Linked DNA regions of Notamacropus eugenii. The protein of the gene in region 2 purifies or fractionates together with the protein of the main gene of each other region. This does not show direct contact. Links are inferred from orthologs where the notes say so. Each region holds a gene or a part of one and is shown on either strand. Other genes may lie near its edges. The genes, in order: CBX1, RBBP4, ARID4B and MTF2.

Region 1 (7,334 bases), on a different chromosome or scaffold from region 2:
GTAAGTATGACAGGTTGGTGTGGAGAGGGAGACATGAGTCAGATAATGAATTTTCTGAGAAAAGAGGGAGAATGATTGGAATGACTGTAGATAATAACCATTAGACAAGGTGATCTGTCCAGATGCAGTGAAGCTCTAAGGATGAAATGTGGCTGAGTAACATGGAGGAGGAAGTAGGGGTGGGGGAGGTATAGAACTGTCGATGAGGAGCATGAAGCACGTTGACTCCAACTGACACTTAGGGAAGTATTGCTCCAGAGACAGTTCTAAAGGTGAGTTATAAACTCCCCCTGGATTCTGAGTGGAAAGGGAGGAAGGGTCTACAGAAATCTGTCTAAAAGTTCACTGCTTCCGGTAGGGAAGTGCCATCAGCACAGTGCATAAATGACAAAGATAAAATTGCCTGCTTTTCTGTCTTAGTTCAGTATGTGGGTGATGAGACAGGAGATGAGGGAAGGTGACCAGGGATGTAGTGCCTTCTGGGGAGAGTCACGGTTTGCATAACTTTGAGGAAATGAAAGAAGCATGAAAGGAAGAGGTATAAAACAAAGGAACAGCTTTACAATAGAAAGGCAGTTCCAGAAGGTATGATGAAAGTGAAAAGGGAAAGAGAGTAGAATCAGGGTTGACAGAAACTGAGGATGAAGTAAAGGGGAGTGGTGACCATAGAATACACAGAATTCTTTCCAGAAAGCACTTGGCACGTGGGCACTAAATAAATACTTGTTGATTTGGAACTCTGCCCCCAGATTTATGAAACCATGCATATCCTTTCTGCCAGCAATACTACTATTACACCTAGATCTCAGAAAAGATCATAGAAAGAGCAAAAGAATGTTATATGTAAAAATATTATCAGCAGCTTTTTTGTGTGTTAACAAAGAACTGGAAATTTATGGGTACCCATCATTAAATTCAACAATAAATTAAATGGGGAGTAGATAAACAAATTATGGTATAGGAATGTAATGGTCCATAACTCTAACATTCCTCTTTTCTTCTTCTTTCATCCTTACCAATCCTATTCTCTGTCCCCACTGACACTTCTTATGCTAGAAGAAATGATGAAGAAGGTAGCTTCGGAGAAATTGGAGAAGACTTATATGAATAGATGGAGTCAGGTGAGCAGAACCAGAAGAGCGTATACAATGACCACACAGTTAAGACAAACAACTTTGAAATACTTAAGAACTCTGAGCAATATAAGGACCAATCATACTTCCTGAGGCACAATGATGAATCATGTCACCCACCATCTGACAGAGAGGGGATACACTCAGATGCAGAATAAGATAAATATTTTGGGACATGGTTAATTGCCCGGGGTCTACTCCTGGGCCTTCGCCTCTCCACTTACCGATCCCCGGTCTTCGGACGTCTCCGGCCCCTCTCCCGGTTGGGGGAGGGCAATAAACAGGCAGAGCACCCGAAAGGAGTTGCAGTCAGCAAGCTTTATTGCATTTCTTCCCCTTCTCCTTCTCCTTCTAAGCCCTTGTGATCATCCCCTTTTATTATCCCTGTCTCCTCCCCCGTACCTCCCATGGGCGGGCGAGCTCCTCCCAAGTGCCTCCCCGCGGGTGGAGTCAGCCTGTTACCAGGGCCATCCCAGTACCCCACAAGGGGGCAGGTTTGGACCCTCAGGCGTCTCACGGTCCTCACAGGGGACCCTGGTCCAGAGCTGTCCCCCAACAGTTAATGTAAGAATTTGTTTCGCGTATTTGTTACAAGGATTTTGTCTTTTTTTTTTCCATTAGGGTGGAGATGAAAGTGAGAAAAAAATGAATTCTTGTCAATTGTAATTTTAAAAAATTTTGTAATGATTATGGATTGATTTATCACAAACCTTCCCTCCAGTCATCCTGCCAAAAAACCCCACCACTCCTTCTCTTGATCCTGCTGCCCCTCTTCCTGTCATATAAGCAGGGAGCTTACCATGTAAGCTAGGCAGCCTGGACTCTCAATTATGGAGATTCTGAGTAAAGTTATAGGATATGTCTACTACTACTGGAAAGGGTGTTTCAGTGGTGTGGCTGATTTGATTATGATTCCTAGAGCAAAAAGTACAGCAAGAGCACATGATAAGACACATATGCTGCTGTGACCCTGGTGTTCTGGTCCAGGGCTGGAGGCAGGATAGTTGGATAAGATGAGGCTTGGCTGGTTATAGAGGGTGGAGATGAAGGATGATTTACTTACGCTCCATTCAACCCTTAGGTGCACATCTGTTCTAAAGGTGAGTTGATAAACTCCCCCTGGATGTGGGACAAAGGAAGGGTCTGACTGAAAGGTCACTGCTTCTGCCATATCAGCACAGATCATAAAAGAAAAGGATAGAATTGCCCATTTTCCTGACTTGGTTCAATATTTTTGCCAAGAAACCATGTTGTCTCTCACATGAATGAGTGAAGGAACGGGAGATGTTTATAAGGGGGAAAGAGATGACTTGGGGGTGGAGAAGAAGGAAGTCTATGATTTGGTGTTTCTGTTCAAGCATAGGCTTGGATGACAAGCTGTCAGGTATCTTATGGAAGAGATTTCTAAAGGGGGGGGGAAATTGGATTCGATGATTTACAAGTTTTCTTCCAACTCTAAAAGCCTATTATCTGACTAACAGAAGATGACAACAGGATAATAGATCCTAGGGGCAAAGCAGGATCAAAAGGAAGGGGTTCTTTTAAGGTTTTTTTAGCGGGGAGAGGAGGTTGAGGGGAAGAGTAAGTTGAATATCTATGCATACTTGTTGATAGTAGGAAATGAGCAAAATGAAAAGATTGAAGATTTGAGAAGAATTGATTAATTAACAAGCACTTACTAAGCACCTGTATGTGCCTTGCACTATACTAAATACTGAGGATGCAAAGACAAAAATGAAATCCTTGCTCTCACAAAGCTTATGGGGAGACATTTATATTTGTGTATGTAATATACATATATACAAAATAATTACAAGGTAGTTTGGGAAGGGAGTATATTAGCTGATGCAGAAATCAGGGAAGGCTTCATATAGAAGGTGGAACTTGAGTTAAATCTTAAAGAAAACCAGGGATTCTGAAAGAAGCCAGTGAATTCCTTGCCACCGGAACAGTCAGAGCAAAGTCAGGAGAAGGAACTTTATGGGTAAGTCAGAAAACAAGTCTGGATAAATCTCAGACTGAAAGCAACGTATAAGAAGGAGTAATTGAGAGATCAATATCTTAGACAAGGTGGGGATGGGGGAAGAGATAGGGATCAAGAGTACAGGTTAGCCTTGGAAGGGGGAAGAAAATGAAGAAAGGCTAGTGGAAAACATATACTTGTGAGGGACAGAAGAAAAAAAAAAAAGATGAGCTGTGATGCTCCATGGGCTTTAAGTTCCATGATTTATCAGTCAAAAATGTTATCCAGTAACATTTAATGCACCTTTCTCAACCTGCCTAGACTGCAGAGCTGTAAATCCTAATTGACTTCAGGCGCGGAACCCTATTCCCGCTACAAATTCCAGCCTATTTTAATTCAAACCTACTACACATTACCACCTGGCACTCCTTTTGAATTCTACACCCACCAAACTGGACTTCTTTGTTCTTCATCAGGGACATTTTATCTTCGCCGGGTTCTCCCCCCCTTTTCCCAGGAATGAATTCCCTTTTCAACTCTGAGACTCAAAGAATTTCTAGTTTTATTCAAAGGAAACTGAAACTCAGTTGCAGCTCAACCCTCACCTCCTATTTGAGGCTATTCCCGATCCCATCCAGCGCTAGTACCTTGAGCCCTAAATATGGTTACTTAATTACCTTTTTCGTTACTTTGTATACATTTTTGACAACGAGGAAGCGGTGTTGGTAAGTGGGGAGCGAGTTGGTCTCAGTCAGTTTAAATTCTACTTCAGAACCCCGAGGTAAGTTGCTTAATCTCCCAACATTCCAGGCAAACCGTTTAGATTTATATCTTAATAAATATGCCTCTTACTTTACAATAGTATAATATGTCTTAATTTGTAATAAGTACTGTAATTATTTATTACAGTAATCTTAATATAGAAATTACAGAGAACTGCCAAGACGTTTGAATTCACAAGACTGGTTCAAAGGCATATGTGAATGTGTTTCTACGTCTAGATCGTCGCGAGCAAAGGGACAGTTGCACTTGTCTCTCGGTATCCCTAGCAACCTGCCCGGTCTCTAGACGCTTAATAAATGCTTGTTGCTAGATGAGTTGATTACACGTGCCACAATCCAATCAGACAGTACTAGTCCCTGGAGCCGCTACCCAGAGCTTGGAGCTTCGTTGGGTGACGTCACCACGTTCCTTCCCTCGCAGTACCCTGGGGCTTGTAGTCTGGGAGGGACTTCAAGTTCCACACTGCCCCGCGTTGGGTCGCGGCGCCTGCGCGTTGCGCGCGGCGGGCAGAGCTGAGTACGGGGCTCTTTTGTTCCGCGGAGCTGGGACGATTGGCTGGGCCCGGGGGAGCTTCGCTTAGCCTATCTTAGGTGAGGAGGGGCACCAGGCTCTAGCCGCGGCCGCCGCTCTTTCTGGCTTAGACAGCTCATCCTCCTTCTCGCTGTCCCCAGCCTCCTGCGACGCGCTAGCGGCGCGACACCGATTCCCCCCGGGTTGAGTCGACGCTGCTCTGAGGTAAGGAGGGAGGGGTGTGTGTGTTTGTGTGTCTGAGAGTGTGTATATGAGAGGATGTGTCTGGTGACACTGGGAAACCGAGGAGGGGGGCCCGGGGGGTGGGGAGGGCTCTCGGCCGATGGGAGTAGGGCCGTTAGGAACCCGGCGCGCGGGAGGCAACCCCCACCCCCTCCCCCACTACTCCCCCAGTCCTCGGTCCCTTCCCGCGCGCAGACCCCGGGAGGGGGCGGGGCTCGTGGAGCGCGCGCGGCGCAGGAATCCCGAGTCGGAAACGGCCGGTGTGGTGGGTTGGACCCCGCGCGTGCTGGGGGCGCTTCGCTGGTCCTAGTTTCTGGGGTCCTTGGTTAAGGGGCCCCCTGGCGAGAAGGAATGTGGCCCCGGGGCTGTGGGGGAGGAGGGGCGGAGCTTTAGCTACTTTAGCCGGTATTGTTATTACCCGCTACTCTGTAAAGGAAAGGGGGTGGGGCATAGGTGGCATTGAACGCCCTTCTTCTGCCCCGGTGGGGAGGAACTTGATTTTTTGTAGCTGATGCATGTTGATGCTTTTAAGAAAAAGACTTGAGGTTTGAATAACGTCCAGGAATTGAGGTCCCATCTCCAACTGTAGATTATCTCCAGCTGATGCAGTCTGTAGTGTGTACATGGTTTGCAGGTTGTCCACTACACGTGAACTCCAGGAGAGCTTTTCTTGTGCCTGGTAAGGGGAAGGCGCTTCATAATTGCTTGTTGACTCGACAGATAAGTGGTTGTGTATTCGTGTTGTCCCCCACTGTGAGCTCCTTGATGGTAGAGATTTACCCTTCCTCTTTCTTTTGTGTCCCCGGAGCGTATAGCGCAGTGCCTGGCTTCACTTAATAAATTCTTATGGACGAAGCGTTAAGGCAAAAAGTTTGAGAACCCGAAGTTCTCTTGCTTGATGTACTTCATGCTAGCAACTAGCAACGAAATTTTGAAATAAAATTCCACCCATGTTACATTAGAAGAATCATTTCCAAGGCAAATGCAATAGGAAAGTGAAATGAACTTTTCATTACGACGTTGCCCCTTTCCCCCATTCCAAGATATTTTCCACAGAAGATTGTAGCGGAGATCTTGTGCTCAAGTTTTTCGTCAGACTTCAGGGTGAGGAAGACTTGGAGTTGTTGAATCCCACCTTTAGATGTTAGCTGATTGATCCTGGGCAAGTCCCACAACCTTTTTTCAGTCTCAGTTTCCTGGTCTATACAGTTGTATTCGATGGCCTCTAAAGTCTCTTCCAGCCCTAAATCTGTGATCTTTGGGAAGTCCCTTCTGCTTTCCCTGGATCCCTGGATGGTGGCCTTGCTTTCCATCGATCTTTGGTGGGAAAGCCTAAGTATTGGTTTACCTGATAGTCCAAAACATGAATGGAGCCATACCCTGGGGCTTTGAGGCCTTGAATTGTATTCCTCTGTTCAGCCTTTTGTCTGACAAATTTGGGCCCTGAATGGCTGCTGGTGACGTTAAGGTTTTGTAACTACCTTCTTTGGAAAGAATTGCCCTGGTAGATAAAGTGTGTAGAAGAGGATGCCTTTTCTTTATGCCCTTTTTGTAAATTTAGGTGGTTCTTGGGAGCCAAACCTGGGAAATCTTTGAGAACCACTTTACACCTCTTTTAACCCTACCCTGAAGACTAAATTCTAGTTCTGTTAGGTTTGTATGCACATATTAGCAGGAGGCATCCTGTCTGTGCCTTTGCTGGGGCTGTTTCCTATGCCTGGAATGCAGTTTCTCCTCACCTGAGCCTCTTCGAATTCCTAGCTTCCTTCCAAGCTCAGCTCAGCATCACCTATTACAAGAGGCCTTTCCTACTTTTTTTGCCTTTGCTAACCTGTAGTATGTTCTGCCCTCCTATATCTTAAGTATATTTTGCATTTATTTATATGTGTATATGTTGTTTCTCCTGTGGGATGTAAGCTTCGTGACTGCAGGGGGCCTAACAAATGCATGTTGATGGATGAAGCTACCTAAGGGCAATGATTTCTGCCCTTTATTTTCACTGTTGCCTCCAAATGAAGAGTCATCTCTGCAGTTAGGTGAGTGTCTGAAAAGTCTGAAAGTGAGTAGAAGCATGTGATAGATACTGTGATCCTCCCTAGAAGCCTTCCAGACATTTATATGGAAGTTAAAGGAAGCCTCTGGTTTTGTTTTTTTCCTATAATGACATTTTTGTTCCCAATAGCTTATATATTCCGAATTGTTTTTCTTTAAAAGTGAGTAGAGGATATGGAGGATAGTGCTATAGCCTATGCCAGGTTCTTGATAAGAAAAGATGTGCCTACTCTTTTCTTCCTCTGTCTTTGTACCTGTGGTTAGATACCTGAATTTTTCTAACCCCTTCTGGACAAACGATATTGAAATATACCAGAAAGGAATTTTCTAAATGAGAGAACTTAAGTACACCTTTAAAAGAGGATTGCTATATAATGTCATTTTCAGAACAGTAGGTGCAGTTTCGTTCACTAGTTAAAAGCATTTGTTAACACTTACTACATTCTAGGCATTGTGCCAGGTGTTGGGGGTACAAAGAAAAACAAAAAAGTCCCTGACCTATCCTACCATACAGTCTTTGGAGATGAGGGCTCTAGTAGCTAGGGAATCAGGAAAGGCCATATATAGAACAGGACTCTTCAGGCTGAGCTTTGAAGGAAGGTAGGACTTCTGAGAGGAAGAGGTGAGATAGAAATAGATTGTGATAGACC
Region 2 (6,849 bases):
AGGACCTTGGAAATGTTCCAAGACCAACCCCTCATTTTACAGATGAGAAAACTATTAACTAAAGCTAAGTGTTTGCCCAGGGTCCCACAAGTGGTAAATGGTAAAGCCAAGAATCTATCTAGGGTCTTCTTCCTCCAAATTCATCATTCTTAGGATTACACTGTATTTCAGTTTGCTAAACCTTCACATGATTACTCAGCTCACCAAAAAAGAAAGTCAGTTTTTCTTCTAGATTAGCAAATTCTTCACAGTAGTGATTATTTATGTGAAATTACTCAAACTATTTTGTCTCTATCTTTTCAGGCACAGGAATAACAAAACACATACACAAATAGCTATCAACCAATTTAGATATAGCTAGGCAGAGTACTGGTCTCAGAATATGGTCTCAGACACTTATACTTAATTTCACTTAGCCCTAGTTTCCTCATCTGTGAAAGGAGGATAAGAGTTTACCACTGGGCTGCTGTCAAACTCAAATGAAAATGACAAATGTAAAGCACTACCACCTCCCTAAATTATTGGAGGGAAGAGACAGGGAGGACAATGGACACAGTCCCCATGCATTGAATGGTAGGGTCCTTAACTGTGGAAAAAATAAATTTGATTCCAATCCTAGAGTAGATCCTCAGATCTAGGATAGCTAGATGGTACAGTAGATGGACTACTGGACCTGGAGTCAGGAAGACACCATTCAAATCCGGCATGGGACATTTACTAGTTTTGTAACTCCAGGCAAGTCACTTAATTTCTGCCTCAGCTTCCTCATCTGTAAAACAAGGATAATAACAGCACCTACCTCCCAGGGTTGTTGTGGTGTTTTAATGAGATATTTGTAAAGTTCCTTGTAGACAATAAAGATCTATATAAGAGCTCACTATTATTATTTTGATGCCACTCCTAGTGCTTTTAACCATTAAGATATTCAGATCACCTGGTTACATCTGGAAGCCACTGTGCAGTCAGGCTGGGCCACTCTAGGGCATGGGTCATCACTAAGTCATAGAGAAAAGGAGTATTTTTTTTCCATATTTTATACTCCTCGTTGATCACTCGTTCTTCTACAGCATCATCAAAGGCTGCTAAAAAAATAAAATAAACGGAGTTAACCTCCAGATGTGAGTACTTTGAAAAATGAAACATGGCACACATTTCTTTCCTCAGGCAGCTTGTGAGGGACAGGAGTATCCAGCCCCTTGTACAAGGTGTTAATCCTCCAAATCTTCCCCCTTTCCCATTTGTGTGGGACTGTAAAGAACTTCAGGGCTCATTTCATAGGTTTAATGGCTGGAAAAAGCTTTTTGGAGATTGAATTCAGCCCCTTCCTTTTTCAAATGAGTAAACAGGGGCTAACAAGAAAAAAATGGGACCGAGCCAGTCGAAGGTGACAAATCTTACTGCGTGCTTAATACAAAGAACGCACTAAAGGTGCAAAGGTTAAAAAAAATACCCATCCTTCAGAAACATTCCCGGAGGGTGAGCGGATGTAACACAAATAGATAAGGAATGGGATTCTCCAGTCAGAAAGAGTGCTAAGAGCGAGGGCGAGCACGTCAAGGTCCACTTTACTGGAGTTCTTCCAAGCTTCCCCCGGGAGACAGGACGCGCGAGGAGCCCTGCGAAGTCCAGAACTCCGGGACGCCCAGCGGGGGGGAGCGCTCCAGGCAGGAGCCGGGGCCGAGCTCGGGGCCGAGCGGAGGGGTCGGCGAGGCTCCACCGGGGACAGCGTCCGCAAAGGCCGGGCTGGACCACGAGGGACTTCAGCGTCCGCGAGGGTTTCGTCCTCCATCCCGTGCCCACTGGGGAGCCCGCTGGGGGCACGGGCAAGCCCAAACTCGCCATCACACCCGGGCTTCAGGCGGATTGTTCAGGAGGCGGGCACGGATGCTGGAGAAAGCCCCCAAGTCTCATCCTCCAGCTCTCCAAGTGAAGCCACCTGTCCAAGGTCACTCAGCCGGCGTAGCAGCGCCGTCGGTCGGCAGGACTTGGGTTCCGATTCCGCCTTGGCTACTCGCTACCCCGCGAACTTGGGCAAGTCCCGCGCCCTCGTGCGGCCTCAGTTTCCCCAGATGTAAGAAGCGGGGGATGGAATCCCCAACTTGGCAGAGCTCGCCGCCGCGCACCCCTCCCCCCAGCCCCAGGGGGCCTCCTTCCTGGGGACGGACACGTAGACCAGGCGGAGAGGCCTGCGGGAGGATCGCAGTCCCGGGACACCGGGAAGAGCGGGAGGCCGCGGGTGGGGAGGGCTCCTCTCACATCCCTCCCTTCGCGGTCTGGGAGGGCCTATTCGGGCGGCCGGGAAGGCCCCCTCCTCCGCGCTCGGCCCCCTTCCCTCCCCCTGCTCTCCTCACCTTCCTTGTCGGCCATGGTGGGCGAAGAAGCTGACGGACTGAATGACGGGCGCAGGGGCCGGGGACTCCCGGGGTCGCAGCACCGCGAAGGGGGGGGGGGTGAGGGTGAAGGGGTGGGGGTGGGGAGGGCTCGACGGCGCTCGCTCAGAGCGCGCGGCCTCTATTGTTTCCTGCCGCCCCTGCGTGTGGCCCGAGTCGCGCACCTTCGCGCCAACGGCGGCCAATCGGAACAGGCTCAGGCGAAAGGAGGGGGGCGAAAGGGGAGGAGGGCGCCACGGCGGTGGCCAATTGGAAGGCGCGTCGCCACCGCGAGCCGGCCTCGGCCTCGAGGTCTACCCCTCCCCCCAAGGTTTGGCACCGCCTCCTCCTCTCCCCGCGCGGTCGGGTTGCCGAGATTAGCGAGCGCGCGCAGCCCAGCCGCCCGGGAAAACGGTTGGTGGTCACGTGAGCGGGGCGGGAGGGGGAGGGGAAAGCTGGAAAACGGGGGAAGGCTCGAAGCTCCCCTGGGAGGCGGCCATTTTCCAAAGTCAGGCTCCATTAAGGCTCACCCGAGGTTCTGGCTTTGACCTCCTTCGACGGGAGAGTCCCAGGACCCCCCTCCATTGAGGCGAGAGGGAACTTGGGACCCTTTACGGAGGGTAGCCCAGCTTCTTTCCTCGGGGGCGAACGCACCGTCACCTAGACCTACAGTAGTGTAAGGGCTGGGGGGGAGGGGGGAGCCAATTTAGCCCCCGACTGTCTCCCTGTCAGCTCCTCCCACTACGTGATAAGGCCTAGGGTCAGCGACCGTAGCGGAGGATGGCTAAAACTGAGGCCTGGCCCTTTAAGGGCACGCGTCGCGGGGCGGGGACTCCGGGCGGAAGCTGCGCCGGCGAAGGGCGGAAGCGGAGCCTTGGCGGAGTAAGTCATGGCTCAGGAAGGGGAAGACGTGAGGGACTACAACCTGAATGAAGCGCAAAAGGCGATCAAGGCCAAGTACCCCCCGGCCACCCGGAAATACGAATGTGAGTGCTCTTCCTCTCAGATTTGGGGCGGCCTTCTACCTAGGGTGGAGAAGGGGCGCTCTCGAGGCGTGAGACGGCCGCAGTGGCAGTCCTTGCCCCGCGCCACTAATGGACCTTGGGCTCCCTCGTCTTACCGCGCCCCATTTTGCAGAGGTGTAGCCTGAGATGGAGAGCCCAGAGTCCCACCGAGAAGATGCCCAGGGCACACACTCCACAGGGCCCCTGGCCGGTTTCCTGCTCGCGTCCCTCCCGGGTCTGAGCCGCAGCGTCCTTTTCTGTAAAAGACTAGATCACAGGATCGCAGATTTAGAGTCGGAGGGCATTTAGTCCAGTCTCATTTCACAGAATCCTCCCACCCATTGAGAAGGCAAGCTGTGTGATGCCCATTATGTGGATGAAGGCATGCAAAATATGGGTCTATATTGGCCATGTGTTACGGAGTATGTTAAATATAAATGTGTGCGCTATATGCGTTTAAAGTTCTTAGGGTTTTGGGGTAAGAGTCACGGGATTATAGATTTACAATTAGAAGGGATCTCAAAGGTCATTGGTCTAGGCTTTCATTTTACAGATGAGAACATGGTTCCAGAGAGGTTAAGTGACTTGCCTAAGGTCAAACTGGTATTAGAAACTCAGCAGAGTTTGGAATTTGAACTCAGGTCTTATAACTCCAAGTGGGATGTTCTTTCCATTGGTTCACACTACTATAGTAAAGTAGGAGAAGCTGCTGAGTAAATTTAAAGGCAGGCAATAAGTATTTAGGGTCCTTTGTAGTGGATAAAAAAATGAGTTCATAAATATTTTAGTGGCCACTCTATACAAAGGATTATACTAGGTATTTTTCCCTTAAAGAATTTATGGTCTAGTTGGGAATCCAGAACTAGTATGCATGGAAGAATTAGAGAGCATTATAATAATATGTTAATTGAGCATTAAAATTGTAGGTTGCTACAGGAGTTCAGCAAAGAGGGAGATAAGGGAAGATGAGTTAGGGAAGTTGGCTTGGAATTGGTGGAATATACACTAGGCTGGATAGCTTTTGAGTAGGCAAGAGGAGAAGAGAGACAGCATATGATTGAGAGTAAGGAGATGAGGAGGGCATATCTGTGCAATAAGTGTGGAAACAAATGGTTGATCCCTTTTGGGGGAGTGATAGGAAATAGGTAGGGAAGAGTCTTGAAAGCCAGGTAAAGGAGTTTGGATGGAAAGTGTGAAATACAGTTCATGTACTATTCAACCTAGTGCAAGTCACATTCTGTGAGTTTCCTTTCTCCCAATATTTTTAAATGGGTGAAATCTGGTTAAAGTAAACCTCTAGGGCAGTCTTGCTGAGGAGAGGGCATAAAAGTCCAGTTGTGGTTGTTATGTAGCTGTGTCCAACTCTTCGTGACCCCATTTGGGGTTTTCTTGGCAAACATAATGGAGTGGTTTGCCATTTCCTTCTTCAGCTTATTTTATAGATGAGGAACTGAGACAAACAGGGTTAAATGACTTGCCCAGGGTCACACAGCTAGTAAGTGTTTGAGGCCTTATTTGAACTCATGAAAATGAATCTTCCAGATCCTAAGCCCAGTGCTCTATCCACTGCACTACTAAATAGTCCAATAACTATATACAACCTAATGTGTATGGAAGAAGAATGAGGGGAGTGTTGTCCAGTGTCTTGTCTTTTCCAGCATGATTGTATATAGATGAACATCTCTGTTATTTCTTTAACTTTAGCTGGGTCTCTGTCAGCCAATCAGTAAACATTTATATGTGCTAGGCACTCTCCTAAGCACTGAGGTTACAAAGAAAGGCCAAAGACAGTTTCCACACTCTAGGTACTTACAATCTAATGAATAATCCAGTCCTGAAGCCTAGTGGAAAATAATGAGATGACTTAATGGAGGATCTGGTAGGAGATCTCCAAAGTCCACCCTCCACCATCTCAATTAGAGGAAGGTAGGGGCCCCAGGGAAAAGGGGTATAGAAGAGGTGTGAGTTTCAGAGTTGATTTGGTATCTTCTTTCAGAAGGATGAGCTTCTGGAGATCATGAAATCAGGAGTGTGTGTGGGGGGGAATAACGAGATGGCTACCCTCCTTAAATGAAGGATCTAGGAGGTGCTCTGGCCCTATTTTGTCTCCTCGTCTTCTCATTAGAGCGCTCCTTATTCTTAAGTGGAATGATTATCCACCTTGGTCCTCATTTATTTTAGGATGCCTTAAAAATCCTAGTTTCTGTTTGAGGTGCTGTTTTTGGTTCAAAGTAAGTTGTAGTGTAAAGAACTATTAATTACTCATAAATATTACTCATTCATTATTTCATTTCATCAATAATATTTATTGACTCCTTAAAAAATTTGTATTTTATCCTATGGACAATAAGGAACCATTGAATAGTTTTCTTAAAATATCATTTTTCAAAAGCAGTCTAGCAGTGAATTAATGGTAGGATAATTTAGAAGGAGGGTAATATCAGAGGCAGGAAGATTAAGTTACTATAATAATCTGGATAGTGATTATAAATCACATTTACATATGCCAGATATTATATATTATGTAATGTAGATATAGTATAATGTATATTACTTTATAACACTTTGAGGTTTCTAAAAGATAAAGTAAGAGGAACTAGCTGATGACAGTGAGAATGGAAAGGAGGAATAGATGTGAAGGGTGTTACGGACTTGAACCTCAGAACAGCCCAGTGAAATGGAGAAGGTATTATTCTCATTTTTAAAGATAAAGAAACTGAACCACAAAAGAGTTAAATAGCAACCAAATTTATACAGGTAGTTAAGTGGCAGAACTGAGACTAGAAATGAAGTCTTTTAATTACTAGTCTTGTGTTCTTTCAGTCACACTATGCTGTCTTCCCTAGTATTATGAAAATAGTAGCAAAAATTATTCTTATCCCTTCCTCTAATTATAACCATTAAGCTGTGTTACAGATATATGAAAATATTTATTTCATTGCTACTTGAGTGTTTTGTCTGTGAGCAGAACTCTTTAGATACAATAGAAATTGTATAGTATACCATACAGTGTGTGTATGTGTATGCATGCTATAAGTACCATATAAAATGTGGTTTTGAGTGCTTTTATGAAGCTTATAAAACATAAGATCTGGTTTCTACTCATGAGAAATTTTTATTCTCTAGTATTCTAGCTGCCTGAAAAAGCAAAATTTAGAGAAAGTTTTTCGTTTGTTTTCCATGGTTATATTGTAATTCCTTGAATGATATTGTACTCAGAAGACAGTAGTATTTAATAATTTAATTTTTAGTAAAAACTTAATTTTCCTCATTGGGGGAAAGTCAACTCGGGTACACTTTCCTGTGTTTTTGTTGTTTAATGATGAACGGAAACCACTTGGTTAGATATATTTTTCTTTTTAAGAAATAGCAATTTCTTAGATATTCTCCAGATCACTTTGAAATCAGAGATCCTGTTATTTCCTTTAGGAATTGTCAAGTTAGTTTAGTTACAAGTTTGACTTGTTAAATCTAAT
Region 3 (7,832 bases), on a different chromosome or scaffold from region 2:
CTCAAATGCTACTAAATCATCATAGAAATTGGGGCCACAGATACATAAAAATACAACAATTTTGACACTGGCCTTAATTACAAGCAAAATAATAATATCTAAAGAACTTAACTTACCACATAAAATTAGGTTGCACACAAAAAGCTAAGGTCTATACGTGAAAAAAGTACAATGTCATTGACCAACATTGTTCTTCTTAACCGAAGGGCTGAATTATGATGCCAAAAATAGTAGCATGTAAAATTAGTTCATTTTAAACTATCAAGCATTTTAACATTGGTACCATTTAAGCAAAAACTAACAATTTTAAATGCAATTACAAATATCCAAGTGTAATTTGATTTTGTTCTGACACATAAAACTGTTTAAAAGCCTAAATTTATTTCTTTAAAGAATGAGTTAAACAGAAAATCTTTAAGTTATAACTGTTAAAAACTTTCATAATTATCTGTTAAATATTGCTCCATTTTTAAACTTAATGTATTTTTCAGCCCAATATTTTCCCAAGAAATTTATGAAAATTGTGGCAGAACTGTGGTTTTCTTAATGAATTCACTTCTGGTAGTCTCACACACATTCCCCATTGTCATTATTATAATCATGCTTGTTTGTTTTCAGGTCTCACAGACACATTTAGTTTTATATACTCTTTAACTGAACTATACATATAGAAAATGAGAGGAAGAATGAAAAACCTTTTCATATACATGCATAAAGTACAAACCCAAGAAACTAGCAAAAACTGGATAGGCTATGCAGTACTCAGAATTTCAAAAGGTTACAGCATTTTACTTCCTTCCATAAACTTATGCAATACAAGCTTTAATTCTGATACAGTATTTTTTAAATTGCCTTGATTTTAAATAGAACCAAAATATAGAGACTGTTCAATGAACTGTCTAAAGTAGCTAGCATTTAAATTTTAACCTACTACAGTTTGCAGCATTATTACTATAACCAATTACGAACACACCCACCTTTTTCAAGCATAGCAAATTTTTACAGAAAAGAAAAATGTCTGCTTGGCTTGGTACCACTAGTTGAATCTAAATGATTCAAAATTCTAATTCTCTTTTCTTTCTAGTGTGTATTAAGTGAAAATGTCAATATTCAATACCTAGCTGAGCTGAAAATGTAAACTAACAGAGACATTTATGCCTACAATATGTTCAACCAAATAAGCAAACCCAAAAGGTTAAAAAAAAAATCCTGCATTTTATGCACTGTCCTTTATGATTTCTATCCTCACCACTTGGAAAACTGATTATCAGCTTTCCAGGTTTCTGGCTTGAGCACAGGGAAAAGTTTTCCTAAAAGCATGAATCGACTGAAAACGTTTAACCCAAAAGGGATCAGTGCAGAGGAACGGATCCCATACAGTCATACACAAAGCACTGTGTCCCTGGAAATAAATACAAGTCACACGGCAGTTTTCAAACCAGAATTCAAAGAACAGTTCTTCAGCAGAGTAAAAATTACCTGTTTAAAAACCCACACGTAAAATAGAATTTCGCTTTGTCTCTACTGACTGAGAACCCTCACCATGTCCAGTTTCCAGATGAGGGAGGTAACTTGACGGGCTTTCAGACTTGTCAGGGAGACCGTTCTTATCTCTCTCCCCGGCAAGAAGGCTCCTCTTAAGCTCCTCTCCCCACCGAAGAGCCCCAGCTCCGCGGCCAGGCCCGGCGTACATGCACCAGCTCGGACCCCATCCCCTCCCCGAGCTCTGCAGGACTCTGCGCGCCCCCGAAGGACCTCGACACGGCCGGCTCCCCCTCACCGCCCCACCCCCTGCCCGGAGGCTTCTCGCATGAAACCCTTTCTTACCTTCATGGTGGTGATTCGGCAGCCGCCGTCTTCTCGCAGACACAGAATTCACCTGCACCTGAGGTGAAACAAAAGACACCGAATCACCACCCCAGGAACCCCGTTCTCCGCGGGGTGGGGGACGAGGAAATGGCTCAGAACCCCCCGCCGCAAGTCTCCCTCGCTCCGCCGCCTCCCGGAAGGAAGGTCCCTCCGAGCCCGGCTCTCGCCCTCGGCGGGGCCGACTCTCCCTCCGGCATCCCCCCGCCGCCCCCGGGCCGGGCCGCTTCCCCATTGTCGGACCCGGTGGAGTTTCCCCGTCTCCGGCAATGACGCCATTTCTGTCAGAGGAGAAAGTCACAACAAACCCCGGAGTCCGGCCCCGGATCCTTCCCCGCCCCGAGCTCGGGCTGGCCGGCCTGCAGCCCAGCGGGGCCGTCAGGCCGGCGCCCCCACAACTGGCTGCCCAGCCCGGGGACCCCGCGGGGCTGGCAGCACCAGCGCCCACGGCGGGGTCCCTGCCCAGGGCTTCCGAGGCCCGTCGCCCCTTCCTTCTTCCCACTTGGCCGAGGCACGACGAGCCTCGGAGTCCGCGGCGGCGAAGGCCAGGCGGGCGGGCAGGGCCCAGCGCTCGGGCGCTCGCCGCGGGGGTGGCGACCACTCTCCTCCTGGCTGGGGAGGGAGGGCGGAGTGGGGGGGAGATACGGGGACCCACGACCGCCCCGGAACCGTGTCCCCTCTGGCCGCCGCATTGCCCCGCCAAGAAAATGCCCCTACCTGGCTGGGTGCTGAGGCTGAAGCCCGTCACGTCCCGAGTCCCCTTCCCCTGCTCCACCCCGAAGCCGGCGACGGGGAGCGGGCCCGGGGGGCGAGATGGGGGAAGGGGAGACCACGGGTCCGGCGGTGGCCGCGGCTCCTCCTCCTCCTCCCGCGGCGGTGGCTGGTACCTTTGTTTGGCGGCCGCTCTGGCTCCCTCGCTGGGGGGGAGGGAGCAAAGAACGAAGAAAATCCCTCCCGGACTCTGGGTCCGGGCCCCAAATCGGGCCCCCCTCCAAAGAAAGACAGCGATGGACCCTTTGCGGCTCCGTCCGGGCACTGGTCCAGACAGTGGCCGTGACGGCGGCAGCGGCTCAGGGTCTCCACTCCGATCCGGTGTCTGAGCAGCTCACTCCGGACTCGACTGACGGGCAAACATCACTCCCCCTCCCTCCCCCGATCCCCCTTCCCCTCCCCTTGTTCCCTCCCCTCGTTTTCCCTCCCGCCCCTAGCTGCCCTCCTTCCTTAGTCTGCCCGTTAGGAGCTCTGGGATTGGCTGGTCATCTTTAGAACCCGCCCCCACCCTTTCGTTATTGGTCCCCGGGATACAAACACCGACGCCATTTTCCACCAGTTCTATGGAAACAGAAAGTTACGCTGCATAGCTTGCTGGGAGTTGTAGTCCATCCCCAGGGGCCAAAGCTTCAGCCTCCCACCGCCAAAGACTGCAAAACCCCTAATGCTCCGCTTCGGCGTGCGGGAAATAGGAGTGGAGTGGAGGGCGGAGGAGGCCCAGAGCTAGTTATCGCTAGGGAGGCGGTCGCGACGCCTGCGCAGTGGGACGGGGATGGCGCATTTTCTCGCACCGAGTAATGCGGCGTCGCTGGCGGCTGAAAAGGGCGGAGAGTGCCGAAGTGAAGCAGTGGGAGGGATTCGTGTTGGTGGCGGGAGGAGCCTCAAAGTGAACTATAAAGGAGGAAGTTGAGGCACGGTAGTGCTGCTTCGGGATCGGCGGTGTGAAACAGCATTATTACCGTTCTACCGGGAGTGGAGGTGGAGGCGGCGGGGGAACCCGAATGGTGAGAGACCAGAGGGGGCGGGGAGAGAAAAGAAAGAAGGACAAGGACCCGGATGCTGAAGCGGGTTGCTGTGTGTATGTGTGTGTGTTTTTTTTCTTGGAGGGCAGGGGGGGAGGGAGGGAGGATGGAGGCGGGAGTGCGAGCTCCGTATGAAGAGGGAGTCGGACGCGGTGATCTCGGCGGAGGAGGGGCTGGCTTAGATACAATTAATAGTCCTTGGCTTGTGGCTAACGTCTGGTTGCCTGCGCCTTGTCAATTTCCTGGGGACTTCCTGGTGCGTTTTTTTAAGAGCCAGATTTGGAGTCAGAGGACCCGGGTGTGAATTCAGGCGGTGGTGCTGTGGGCACAAGGGGGACACCAATTCTCTCTAGACCTCCAATTTCTTCTTTTAAGTTGAGGGCCTCAGAACTAGGGTTCTCCATCGGATTTTGTGCCCTGGACCCCTCTGGCAGTCTGGCGAAGCCTGTGGACCCTTTCACAGCATTATTTCTTAATTCACAAAATCCATAGGGTTACAAAGTAAACTAATCATTGAAATGCACTTACTAAAATAAATTTTTACAAGTTCACAAACTTCCTCGCCCTTCTCCCACCCCCTCTAAGAATTAACCCTCAGAGTAGGAAGTTCCTTCCTGCTTTAAATCTAAGATTTCCTCAGACTCATAATCCTAAGGTTTTGGTGTTGAGTTCTAGCTCTTCCGAATCCAGAGAAAGCATCCGGCTTCACACATGCACTCACTTGGCAAAAATTTTTATTTTGACCTTCTTTATATTTTGCAAAAAAAAAAAAAATCAGGAATCATTTGATGCTTGATAGATCATTCGCATTGATCCTGATAATGTTTAATATAAAATTTTTGAATAATCTCTTTGTTCTCTCTGAAGCAAACTCAGAGAATGCCTCTTCCTATGTCAGCAAAAGCCAGCCAAGGCTGAGTCTACATTCCTTAGGAGACCTTTAACCTAAGACACTATATCTTATTATCTATAGACATATACTATGTTTGTTATGGCATATTAGTGGTAAAGAAAATATAAACATCTTAGATCGTAATTTCTATTGAACTTTGTTTACCCTTTCCTATGTCAGTTATCTGTTTAGGGCAGGAAGCCTGTCACTCACTGGTGGTGGGATTTCCTTCCTTGTCACCGAGACTATATGTTTACACAGCCTGGAATCTCAAGGCCCAACTGACATTGCTTTGTTAATTGTCCTGTCTTACTGAATTTATGATTTGCTTAATTAGGAGAGTTTCTTTCTCACGGCAAAATGTACTTAAGACAGATGATTTCTGTACTAAGTAGTCAGAGTCACAAATGACTCCATAGCGCTATGACTGTTATCTTTAAGAGGGAATCAATTAATTAAAAAATAACGCATGCCTTTAGTCTGATGTCTTTCCTTTAACCAAGTTTTCAGGTTAACGATCCTCATTGTCTTTTTTGATTGCAAGCCCCAGGCTGTTTTTCCAATCGGAAGAACGAGGAATAACGTAGTTATATGCCTGTTCCAGGGAGACATTTGTAGTTTTTCGTTCTCCTGTAACATTGGGTGTCATGTACCACAAATGAACTTAATTGAACTAAGGAGCTTGATACCTAAATTTAAAAGGTTGAGGATGTATATCTGCTGCAAAAAATTAAGATTTTATAGATGAATCAGGTTAGGACATATTCCACAGTAGATAACATATTCTGTCTTCTAAAGCAAAACAATAAGGAGATAGGGAAGGACCCCTCGTACTCATTACCTGTCTGCCCATGAGCAAATCACTTAACCACTCTAAATCTCAGTTCCTTCATTTATAAAATAGGAATAATTATGCCTTTAGTATATACCTCTCTCACAGGGCTGTCAAGGATCAAATGAGAAAATCTGCGTGTTGTGTTGTGGAGGGAGGGAGAGAACAGATTGTGTAATCTACCTTCAATAAATGACACCTACATTCCAAAGGAAAAAAAAGAAAATGTATGTAAAACACTTTCTAAATTTTAAAATGTGTGTGTGTGTGTTAGTCAAGGACAAAACAGCTTTTCTTATTCCCCCACTATTATTCCTGTATCTTCCTTCCTAGAAAAGACACAGTGATAAACATTCTGCTAGACAGAGAAAGTGGAATCATAGAATGTTAAGACTAAAAGATATCCTGGAAACCATCTCTTTCAACCTCCTCATTTCTACAGATAAGGAAAAAGGGGTCCACAGAGGTGAAATGCCTTGTTCAAAGTCATGGCTAATTAATAGTATCAATTAGTTTTTATTGAAAGCCTACCATGGGCCCAGTATCGTGCTCGATATTGTGAAACATACAATTGGTCCTTGCTGTCTGGCATCTTATGTTCTAATTTACAGGACAAAACTATCCCAAGAGACAATTGTAGAACTGCTTCATGCCCAGTCTTTATGAAGGTAGTTTTATTTTCCATGATTTTAAAAAATTTATTTAAATGATGTGATCATGGTAGACCTTCAATTTGAAATGTAATGTACCATCTCAGGACAGATCACAGATTATTACATTAGTGTCACATTAGTGTCATTATTATTTCCAAAGATACTTTGCAAAAGTTCAATTACATCTCTGTGTAATAAATATATAAAACTGGTTTAAGATAGAGATAGAGCTTTTAAAAATCTTATATATCACATTTTTCTTGTATCCCTTTTTCCAGACATATTCATAATAGTATTCTGCCAGATGTGGGGCAATTTAGGGAATTTACTCTGTAATCTTGTCATGGCAGGTGAAAAATTATCTGCTTTGTGTAGGTAAACAACTGTGTTATACAAGATGCTGTGAGTCTATGCAATATAGAGTTTTGAAACAAATTATATTAGGATTAATCATGTGGAAAGTAGTATATTGTAGCTTAGAAGCTATTGCATTTTTGCCCAACTGATCATTTGGGCCTGCTGCTGCAAGAGGTAATTAGCGTATGATCATAGTAGCTTGGTCCATTTCTTTTATTTCCTTATATAAGGGTGAGCATTTCATTTTGAAATTCATTACCATTTGTCATCGTAAAGCCTACTAGAGTCATGTATTTGTCATCTATGCCCATAAAATCAAAGCATTAACATATATTATAGGAATCTGCATATTTATATAAATGGTCAAATGTCAAATATTAGTAGTAAGGACCTGAAAAAGTTTTGTTTTGTCTTTTTCTTAAACTGCAAATAATTATGAAATGTAAGACTGCTTTCTTTTGTGTGTAACACCTCAAGCAGGCTAGATTCTCAAAGCTTATTACATTGTTGGCTTAATACCATGGTATTAAGGGGTGGAAATCCTGAGGTATAAGAACTCTTTCTTTGTATGCAAGAGCCTATAGAGAATGAGATCAGAGTCTGAGATGATTATCCTATCTGTTCAGTGAAGGTCACTAGAACCACAAGGGAGACTGAGGAAGAACAGTACTGTGAGTAAGAGGGTTGAGAAAAGGGAACTTTTTTTTTTTTTAAACAAAAAAACTAAGAAAAGTTATCAAAGATTCAAATACCTGGTACTATTAGACTCCATTTAGCAGCAACTTCTCTACAGTTCTGCTGAGAATCAGAAAACAAAGCTTTAAGCATCCAAAATAAATTTCACAAAAGACCATGCCCCAGTCTTTATACATTACACTTATAGTCTGTTTACTCCTAATTTAGGTGACCTTAACAATCTTGGTGTTTTAACCTACATTAGATAGGAAGAAGCAAATTTCATCAAGTTCTAAATCAGTTACTGAATAGAAAATTCATGAAATAGATGATCTAAGAAACTAACAAACAAAAGTACACCCAGAAAAATCTTTCTAGCAGTGTGATGCCATGACAAGGGCGCCAACTCTGGAGTCAATGGACCTGGATTCAAATGTTATCTCTAATGTTTCCTCTGTGATTCTGGGCAAGTCACTTAACCTCCGGAGCCTTAGTTTCTTCATATGTAAAGTGAAAGAGTTGGACTAGATGGCCTCTAGGGTCCCTTCCAATTTCCATTCTATGATTCTGGATCCTTTTCTGATAAAATTATAAGACTGATAAATCAGGAAGATATAGGCACATCATGTGTAGATTGCATGAGGCATTTGACAAAATTTGAACAGCTTAATTAGCCTTGCACAAGTTGCTCTGGTTTCAGAAACAACTGGGCCACATTTTAACCAGTGTACTTAGAACAAATAAGAGTAAAGTAAAAAAATATT
Region 4 (7,980 bases), on a different chromosome or scaffold from region 2:
TTATTTTTGCTGATTGCCTCTGCATTTAGAATATGAGGTCATTGAGGGCAGGAACCAGGTTTTTACCTTTCTTTGTATCACCAGCATTTTGCATAGTGGCTAGCAAAACCCGCCTAGTGCACAAGCGTTCCTATTCCACGATGCCTCCTCTTGTTTAAAGGCACAGAGAGAGAGGATGGAATGCTGGAGTCAGACAATAACAGTAGGCGGGAGTAGTTTAACTGGAATATGGAGTGTATATAAAGGTGAATGATACACAATAAGTCTAGAAAAATAGGCTAGAGTCAAATGATGGCAGGTTTCAGATTTCAAGCTCAGGTGTTTGTCTTCTGCACATGCATTTTTAAAATCTAAGGCATTTCGTGAATTTCTTATGCATCTTTACCAACTTCTGACAACGTCCTTTTCCCTCCTTGTTGACAGTTTCTTCCTTTATTCTCACTCTCTTCTTAACCTTCTACATTCTGGCTTTGAACTTTGTCAACTACTCTTTTCAAAGTTAACAATGATCTTTTAACTGCCAAATCTAATGGCCTTTTTTCAATCCTCATCATTTTTTACCTATCTCCAATCTTTGATACCATCAATCACCTTCTCCTTTATACCCTCGTCTCTAGTGATGTGTGTGTGTGTGTGTGTGTGTGTGATACTATTCTCTCCTGGTTCTCCCACTTGTTATTTTTTGTTTGCTGTATCTTCATTTAGATCATGTCCTCTAACTACTGGGGTTCCCAAAGGCTCTGTCCTGAACCTTCTTCTCTTCTCATTTCATTTGGTAACCTTATTGGCTCACATGGTTTCATTTATCAATCATCTTTATGCAGATGACTGATCTACTTGTCCAAGACCTAATCTTTCATGATTTCTGGTTTTATAATAATTTATTGGACATTTTGAAGTGGACATCCCACAGACATATCACATTCATCATAACCAAAACTAAGCTCATTATCTTCCCACTCCCCCTCCCCCTTCCCCTTTTCTGTTCCTAAATTTCTCACTACTTTCAAAGGTACCACCATCTGCCTAGTCACCATAGTTGCAACCTATCATCCTTAACTCTTCATTCTTTCCTTCTTTCTCATCTCTCCATATCCCATCTATTGCCAATTTCTAATGATTCTACATTTGTAATATATATCATATATGTTTCCTTCCTTCCCCTGACACTACTACCAGTCCAGTCCAGGTCCTTATCACTTCACACCTGGACTATTGCTGTTATAGCCTGCTGGTTGGTCTCCTTGGTCTCTGCACTGTTACAATCTATTCTCCACCCAGCTTTCAAATTGATCTTCCTAAAGCAAAAGTCTGACAAGTGGCTCCCTATTACCTCCAGGATTAATAATAAAATCCTGTGGGCTTGAAAGCCTTTCATAACTTGACTCCTTCCTAGCATTCCAGTCTTCTTATGCCTTACCCTGCCCTTCATGTACTTTATGATTCACTGACATTGGCCTCCTTGTTCTTTGTAGAGGATGCTTCATCTTTGGACTCCAGACTACTAGCTGTACTAGTACTAGACAGTACTAGCTGTCTCTCATGTTTGGAATGCTCTCCCTCCTCATCGCAGTCTCCTTAAAATCCCATCTAAAATCCTAACCTCCACAGGAAATCTTTCCCAATTTCTGTTTTAATGCTAGTAACTTTCCTCTGTAATTATCTCCAGGTTGTCTTGTATATATCTTGTTTGTACATAGTTGTTTATATGTTGTCTCCTCTGTTTGACCTGGAGTTTCTTGAGGACAGAGATTGTTTCTTGCCTTTCTTGGTATCCTAGTGCTTGTTCCAGGTACCTATCACATAGTAAACGCCTAATAAATGTTTGTTGACTGACTGAGTTGACTTCCCTGGACTTGGAGTCATGAAGACCTATCCTATCTCCAACACGTTGGTCATGGCCCATTCTGATCCCCAATTTCCTCATTTGGAAAATGAAGTTGACATCTATAGTGCCTACCAAACAGGGCTGTTGTGAAGTGTAAATGAGATAACGTCTAGGAAGGAATGCTTTGCAAATCTTAAAGCATTATTTCAGTTACTGCTATGACTACAGCACTCCCTTGCCCTGAAATGCTTCAGTGGCTCCCATTACTGACAAGATAAAATACCAACTACGCCTAAAATTATAGGCTCTCTACAATGTACATTCTTAGACTTATTTCAAACTAGTCCCCTTCATATGCTCCAGTCAAACTAAAATAGTAACTGTTGCCTGATTTAATTTTCTCTTGCCTTTTACTAAATATATCATCCCTAAAACCTGGAATAAATCCCTTCCCCATTTACCCTGTTTTTTTTTCAAGATCCAGATGAAATGCCTCTTGAATGCTCCTTCCCTGATTCCTTCCTCCCTCCTACAGTAATCTCTTCTTTTTCAAATTTTTGACTTTACTGCTTGAGCTCTTCTATTCACTTAATCTAAGTTGTATTCTAGTTATTTGTGTATTCTAGTTTTGTGTAAATATCTTACTCCATTGCCACTTAATCATATGCTCATTGAAAGCAGGCACTAAACACTTAATAAAATTTTGTTGAATTGGAATCACTTTCCATTACTCATTCTTTGGGGCTTCTGTTGGCAATTGGTCTAGATAGACCATGAGTCTGACCCAGAATCTGTAACTCTTCTCTTACCAAATGAAATTCGTCATCTTTCCCTTTAAACTAAATCTCTTCTAAAATTCCTTATTTCTGCCAAAACACAACTATTCTTTCTTCTAATCATTCAGGGTCACCACAAGTCTGATCATATCACATCCCTATTTAGAAATCGTCCATGGCTCCCTATTGCCTCTAAGGATTAAATCAAAACTCCTGAGCTTCGCATTATAATCTGGTTCCAATCCATCGTTTCAGACTCATCGTACATCAGTCCCTTTCCAGCCAAATTGGCCTTGCTCTTCCCTGAATTTAGCAATACAAACACAGAATTGTGTTTTTGTGAAAGTTATTTCCTACACTTGGCATTCATTCACTCATCTCCACCTCTTAGGATCTCTCAAGACTTGCTCTATGTGCCACCTCCGATGGAAAACTTACCCTTATCTCCTCTCTCTCTCTCTCTCTCTCTCTCTCTCTCTCTCTCTCTCTCTCTCTCTCTCTCTCTCTCTCTCTCTCTCTCTCTCTCCCTCTTCCCTTTCCTTCCCTTCTATTCAAAATGACTATCTATACACATACATAGCAGTTTACATGTTGTATCCCCACTGTGGAATGTAAACTCCTTCGTTGACAGGACAATTTCCCCTTTGCTTTGTCTCCCTGTCACCTGGTAGTGCTTTGAACAGGTTTTGTTTTTCATTTTTTGCCAGATCAGCAATTTCAATGATTTTTTTGCCAGAGCAGTCATTTCAATGATTTAGGGAATTCAAATGAAGAAACTCCCTCTACCACCGAAAATCAGCAACTAACAGTTCTCAAAACTTTGTGTCTAAGAGTTGCCTAGAGTCAAGCATTGAAAGGTTGTGACTGTCCAAGGTCCACACAGCTAGTCTATGTCAGTGGAGGAACCTCAACCGAGGTCTTCCTGTTCTCTAAGTCTCTCTCTCTCTCTATATGTATATATATGTATATATATAATATATATTTAAAAGGTTTCTTAACTTTTGTTGCATTGGATTAGATTCCCCGAAGGAGTCGCTTTTTGTTATTCTAAGATGAATCATGGTATGTAGTGTTGAGGTTTTAAACCTGGGGTCTGTGAACTTAAAAAACAGTTTTGATAATTATTTCAATATAATTATTTTCGTTTGCAATTCCGTGTCTTATTTTATATATTTAAAAAATTTTTTCTGAAAGGGGGTTCATAGGCTTCACAGATTGTAAATGGGATCCATCACACACGCACAGACAAGGTTAAGAACCTCTGAAACAATGGAAATACTCAATTTAAAAGTCAGGTTTTAGTTTTGCCGCTAAGAAGCTACATGACCTAAGGCAAATCACTTCAACTTTGGGAGTCAGTTTTTTTCATCTGTTAAATGGGGACACTACCTCAAAAGGTCTTAATGGATTGCAAAAAGAGAAACTGTGGATTAGAGAGTTAAGCATATCATTTCATCCCCGAACCGGTTTCTTTCTTTTCAAGGGGGTCACTTGAACTAATTTCCTCGAAGGGTCAGTGTAGTCTACCTTGGGTTTAAAGGACACAAAACCGGGGGGAGAGGGGGGGGAGGGGTTAAAGTCGCGGTTCACGCATAATCTCCGAACGTGCTCCTTTCTCTTGGGAGGTGGGGTCACCGCACTTCTTCTTTTGAAGAATTAACAAGAGGAAATGTTCACGAATTCGGTTTGTAACTGGCCATTGTTATGTAAAAAGGGAGGTGGGCGCGAGGGCACTTTGAAGTAGGAAGAGAGGGCGGCATCCAAGAATTCATTACCTCATTTAGGCTGAATGCCCACTAAGCGCCCACCTCAGGGAACAAAGAGACCCCCAAAACGAAGTAGCTACCCTCAAGGAGCTTACCTAATTGTAAGAAGGAATTTAAAAAAAAAGCAACCTCTAAGTTCGCCCGGTGAAGGGATTCTTCAGCCCCGCGGACCTGCTCTGTAAAATGCGTGGGGCGGAGCTGCGATGGCCAGTCTGCGGCCTCAGAGTGTAAAGCGTAAAAAATCTGACACTTTTCCAAGAAGACACCGGGCTTTAGAGATCAAAGGCTGACTGACCACGAGCAGGCCCGGGGTTAAGAGCAAAGGCGCCGACGAGGGGGCCCGTCTTTTGTAAAACAGCGAGCGTTTGCCTCGAGTCACGCGGCCGGGGCTGCAGGAAGCGGAGGCCGCGGACGCCGTTCCGAAACGGCAGCAACAAGAAAGGACGCTCGGTCGGCGAGACCGGAGCCCGGCGCCATCCTGCAGCGACAGCTCCCGGAGCGCCGGCCAACGCGCAGCGCGAGCTCCCCCGGCTGCGCTATTGTGCTAGTGCCGGCGGCGGAAGGATCCCATGCCCGTCGACCGAGGAATTAAAAGAGTCCCTCTTTGTTCACTCAAGGCCGGAGCCGAAGGGCACCGCGTCCTTCCGCGTCCGCCTCTCAGACTCCGCCCCCCCGCGGCTCTGGAGAGCTGCCATTCGGCGCAAGCAGTCTTTCGCGCTCCCACAATGCACCGCCACTCCGCGGGAAACCAAAATGGCGAAGGGCCGTAGCGAAGCGGGGTTGTGTTGGAGGCGGGTGTGAGCACCCCCCTCCACCCCCGTCCCCCTCAGCCTTCCTCTCAAACCTCCATCGTCAGCACCTCGGCGTGTGTGTGCAGCCCGGTGTGGCGCGGGCCTGGCGAGGGCGCAGAGTCTGAGGGGGAGGAAACGCCCAGGGGGACGTAATTTTGTTTTATATTTTATTTTTTCATTTTTTATTTTTATTTTTATTTTTTTTCCTGTATGAAGCGGTTGGCACCACTGAAGTGACCGAATGAGGTGAGAAACCTTGGACTGGGACCCGGCGCTTCCGGGGCACGGAGGACCAGGAGAGGGGGGAGGGGAGGGCTGGATAAAGGGGGAAAGATGGACGCGGGGTGGGGGGAGCTGGTGCTTAGGGTTGGAGGAGTGTGAAAAGGGTGGGTGGGAAGGAGCTGGGTGCGAGGGGGGATCGGGAGGAAACCATGGCGAGGCGGGGGGTCGGCTTAGGGTCGAGCGACTGAAGGCAGGAAGGAACCTGGGGGCGTGAGACGGTTGGAGGGGCAGGATGAGCCCTGGTGACGAGGAGGCGGGGGGAGGCTGGGGGGAGGCTGGGGGGAAGCGTAATTTGCCACCCCAGATGGGGGTGCTGTGGGGCAACAGGAACCGGACAGGAAGGCACCCAGGGGAGTGCAGAAAGTGAGGAGAGACAAGAGGAACGAGAAAGAATCGGGGTGTTGGAGGTGGGGGAGGGCAGGCAGTAAAGACTAAGGGGGATGGGAAAAAGCAGCTAGGTCTCAGAGGAACCGGGCCGGGGCTGGGGACACACGACTAAGTGGAAAAAGGATGGAACTTGTGGAGTTTCCGTGATTTGATTTCCTTAAAACTCGGTTCTCCATACATTCTTGGTAGGGAGAAATTGTGCATAACTGCCCAGATGGGGTTCGGGGGTTCGGGTTGTTTTTTTTGTTTACAACTGAGGATGTCAGGGATTTAAAGAATTTGAGTCATAAACCCCCAAATCCTTAAATAAATCATTGGCAGAACCAGGCAAGGAAACAGGTCTCTTGGTGTCCAGTCTAGTGTTCTTGATCAAGAAATTTGGCTTTTGCTGTGGAAGTGGGCATTCTGGAATATTGTGGGTAATTAGAAGAATGAGGGGGAAACAATGGGAAGGACGCATACGTGTGGGGATGAGAAATTTTGCTTTGGTTACTGCATTTAGAGATCATCTGACTAAATAGAGGTATTCTTCTGCATTGAACAGTAGAGCACAAAATGTGAGGTCAGTACATAGCTAGAAACATGTAAATATTGTCTAATATTACTCTACTCCACATCTTTTAGTGGTAGCAGAAGCTTTTTCCCTTTAGATTAAATCCATGTGACCCTCTTGTTTAGCTTGTTTACAGACAGGTTTTAATTTTCATGTTTTTATCACTAGCTCCGAATACTGTGCTTAGCGGACTGCAAAAAAAAGTACATTTAAAATATCTATTTTGGTTTCAATAAAATGCACCCTATGTATTGTGTACTTTTTTTTAAAGGTTCTTTAAAGGGAACCATTTTGAATGACAGCTTTAAGAACCTTGTAGTTGTGGACAGAAAACAGTTTTACATTTCAGAATGTAAAATATTCTCTTCTTTGTTTGAGACTTGGAACATTGTTTGCTTTGTACTTGCAATGACAGCTTGAAAAACAGTGCAAGATAAAAATTTCAGAACCTTTAAGTAAAAATGTTTGAAGTTAAATTTAATGATTCCTTTGCCTTCAGAAGATTTTTTCCAAAATACTAAAAACTACCTAAAATACTTCATTTCGTTATTCTCCTGCTTCTTGACTTGTGTACATAAAGGCTTTTAATATTAAAGGAAATTAGTAATATAAACTTGTTCTAATCCCCCTTCTTATGCATACTTGACTGTATGACTCTGGACAGGTCACTTAACCTCTCAATGACCCTAGAAACTTTATTAAGATACTAACTTGCAAAACGGTGGCAGATGTTTTCGGTAGAGGAAGCCTATTGGAAGGAAGTACCTGTAAAGTCACAGATCTAGATACTTCTCCTTCCCACCCAACATATCTTCAACCATATCTGTATAGATCCAGGTCTAAAATTGTAGAGCTGTTGGGGACCTTAGATGCACCATCTAGTTCAGCTCCCTTATTTTACAGATTTGGGTAACTGAATAACCTTAACAGCTTTCATAAGTTATATCAGAAACCACATAGTCTCTACCCCTCCTCCAAAGATTGCTGTACATATTTTTATTCCCTCATGGTGTCTTGTAGATAATGTACCCCACCAAATATTTGTGGACTGAGAGGACTGCCTTTATTAGTATTAGGACAGGGTTTCACAGATAACAATTTCATTTGGTTTGACCATACAACTTTTATTTGAGATAGAGAGGGAACAGATAGTGATAACCCAATTTAACAGAGAAATTGAAATTTTGAGAAATTGGTTTTGTCACAGTCTCTAGCTAGCTAATGGTGATGCTGGGAATAGGACCTTCTGAAAACTATAACTATCTTTGTTTCACTAATCTAGAATACCGCCTCCCAAAGTAATATGTTTATTGATTTCCTTTTACTTGTTTTTATGATAGATAATTTATTGAAATAGAATACAATATAAAAATTACTGGAATGTACTATTGAAGAAAGATACTGCTCTGTGGATTTGATACATATAGAAAAGTTAAATTCATTTAATGTTTTTTAATTAGACATTTTCTATCCTTCCTATACTTTGTGCATTCTGTCATATTTATGAAGATTAACAGTAAACTATCAGGGTAGCCATTTCTGGACCAGTAGAAAACTACTTACAAGATCTGCTTCAAGTTTGATTTTTCATTTCAAG

Evidence for each region.
Region 1: the proteins of RBBP4 (region 2) and CBX1 purify together in Homo sapiens (affinity purification with mass spectrometry; 3 studies listed by BioGRID and IntAct, with this or other methods). This does not show direct contact. The link is inferred for Notamacropus eugenii from reciprocal best matches to the Homo sapiens genes RBBP4 and CBX1.
Region 3: the proteins of RBBP4 (region 2) and ARID4B purify together in Homo sapiens (affinity purification with mass spectrometry; 5 studies listed by BioGRID and IntAct, with this or other methods). This does not show direct contact. The link is inferred for Notamacropus eugenii from reciprocal best matches to the Homo sapiens genes RBBP4 and ARID4B.
Region 4: the proteins of RBBP4 (region 2) and MTF2 purify together in Homo sapiens (affinity purification with mass spectrometry; 4 studies listed by BioGRID and IntAct, with this or other methods). This does not show direct contact. The link is inferred for Notamacropus eugenii from reciprocal best matches to the Homo sapiens genes RBBP4 and MTF2.

What each region holds. Positions count from the first base shown.
Region 1 is NC_092873.1:353,053,709-353,061,042, forward strand, and holds the start of CBX1 (chromobox protein homolog 1), read left to right. Parts: upstream 1-4,326; 5' UTR 4,327-4,469; intron 4,470-4,550; 5' UTR 4,551-4,614; intron 4,615-4,987; exon of another isoform or gene 4,988-5,311; intron 5,312-6,549; exon of another isoform or gene 6,550-6,668; intron 6,669-7,334. UniProt on the Homo sapiens protein: Component of heterochromatin. Recognizes and binds histone H3 tails methylated at 'Lys-9', leading to epigenetic repression. Interaction with lamin B receptor (LBR) can contribute to the association of the heterochromatin with the inner nuclear membrane.
Region 2 is NC_092876.1:77,230,969-77,237,817, forward strand, and holds the start of RBBP4 (histone-binding protein RBBP4), read right to left. Parts: upstream 3,013-6,849; 5' UTR 2,955-3,012; coding exon 2,900-2,954; intron 2,700-2,899; exon of another isoform or gene 2,368-2,699; coding exon of another isoform or gene 2,352-2,367; intron 2,072-2,351; coding exon of another isoform or gene 1,885-2,071; exon of another isoform or gene 1,685-1,884; intron 1,083-1,684; coding exon 935-1,082; intron 1-934. Other genes in the region: ZBTB8OS (protein archease), read left to right, coding at 1,885-2,071. UniProt on the Homo sapiens protein: Core histone-binding subunit that may target chromatin assembly factors, chromatin remodeling factors and histone deacetylases to their histone substrates in a manner that is regulated by nucleosomal DNA.
Region 3 is NC_092873.1:394,938,883-394,946,714, forward strand, and holds the start of ARID4B (AT-rich interactive domain-containing protein 4B), read right to left. Parts: upstream 3,020-7,832; 5' UTR 2,584-3,019; intron 1,886-2,583; 5' UTR 1,834-1,885; coding exon 1,828-1,833; intron 1-1,827. UniProt on the Homo sapiens protein: Acts as a transcriptional repressor. May function in the assembly and/or enzymatic activity of the Sin3A corepressor complex or in mediating interactions between the complex and other regulatory complexes.
Region 4 is NC_092873.1:267,995,946-268,003,925, forward strand, and holds the start of MTF2 (metal-response element-binding transcription factor 2), read left to right. Parts: upstream 1-4,961; 5' UTR 4,962-5,402; coding exon 5,403-5,407; intron 5,408-7,980. UniProt on the Homo sapiens protein: Polycomb group (PcG) protein that specifically binds histone H3 trimethylated at 'Lys-36' (H3K36me3) and recruits the PRC2 complex, thus enhancing PRC2 H3K27me3 methylation activity.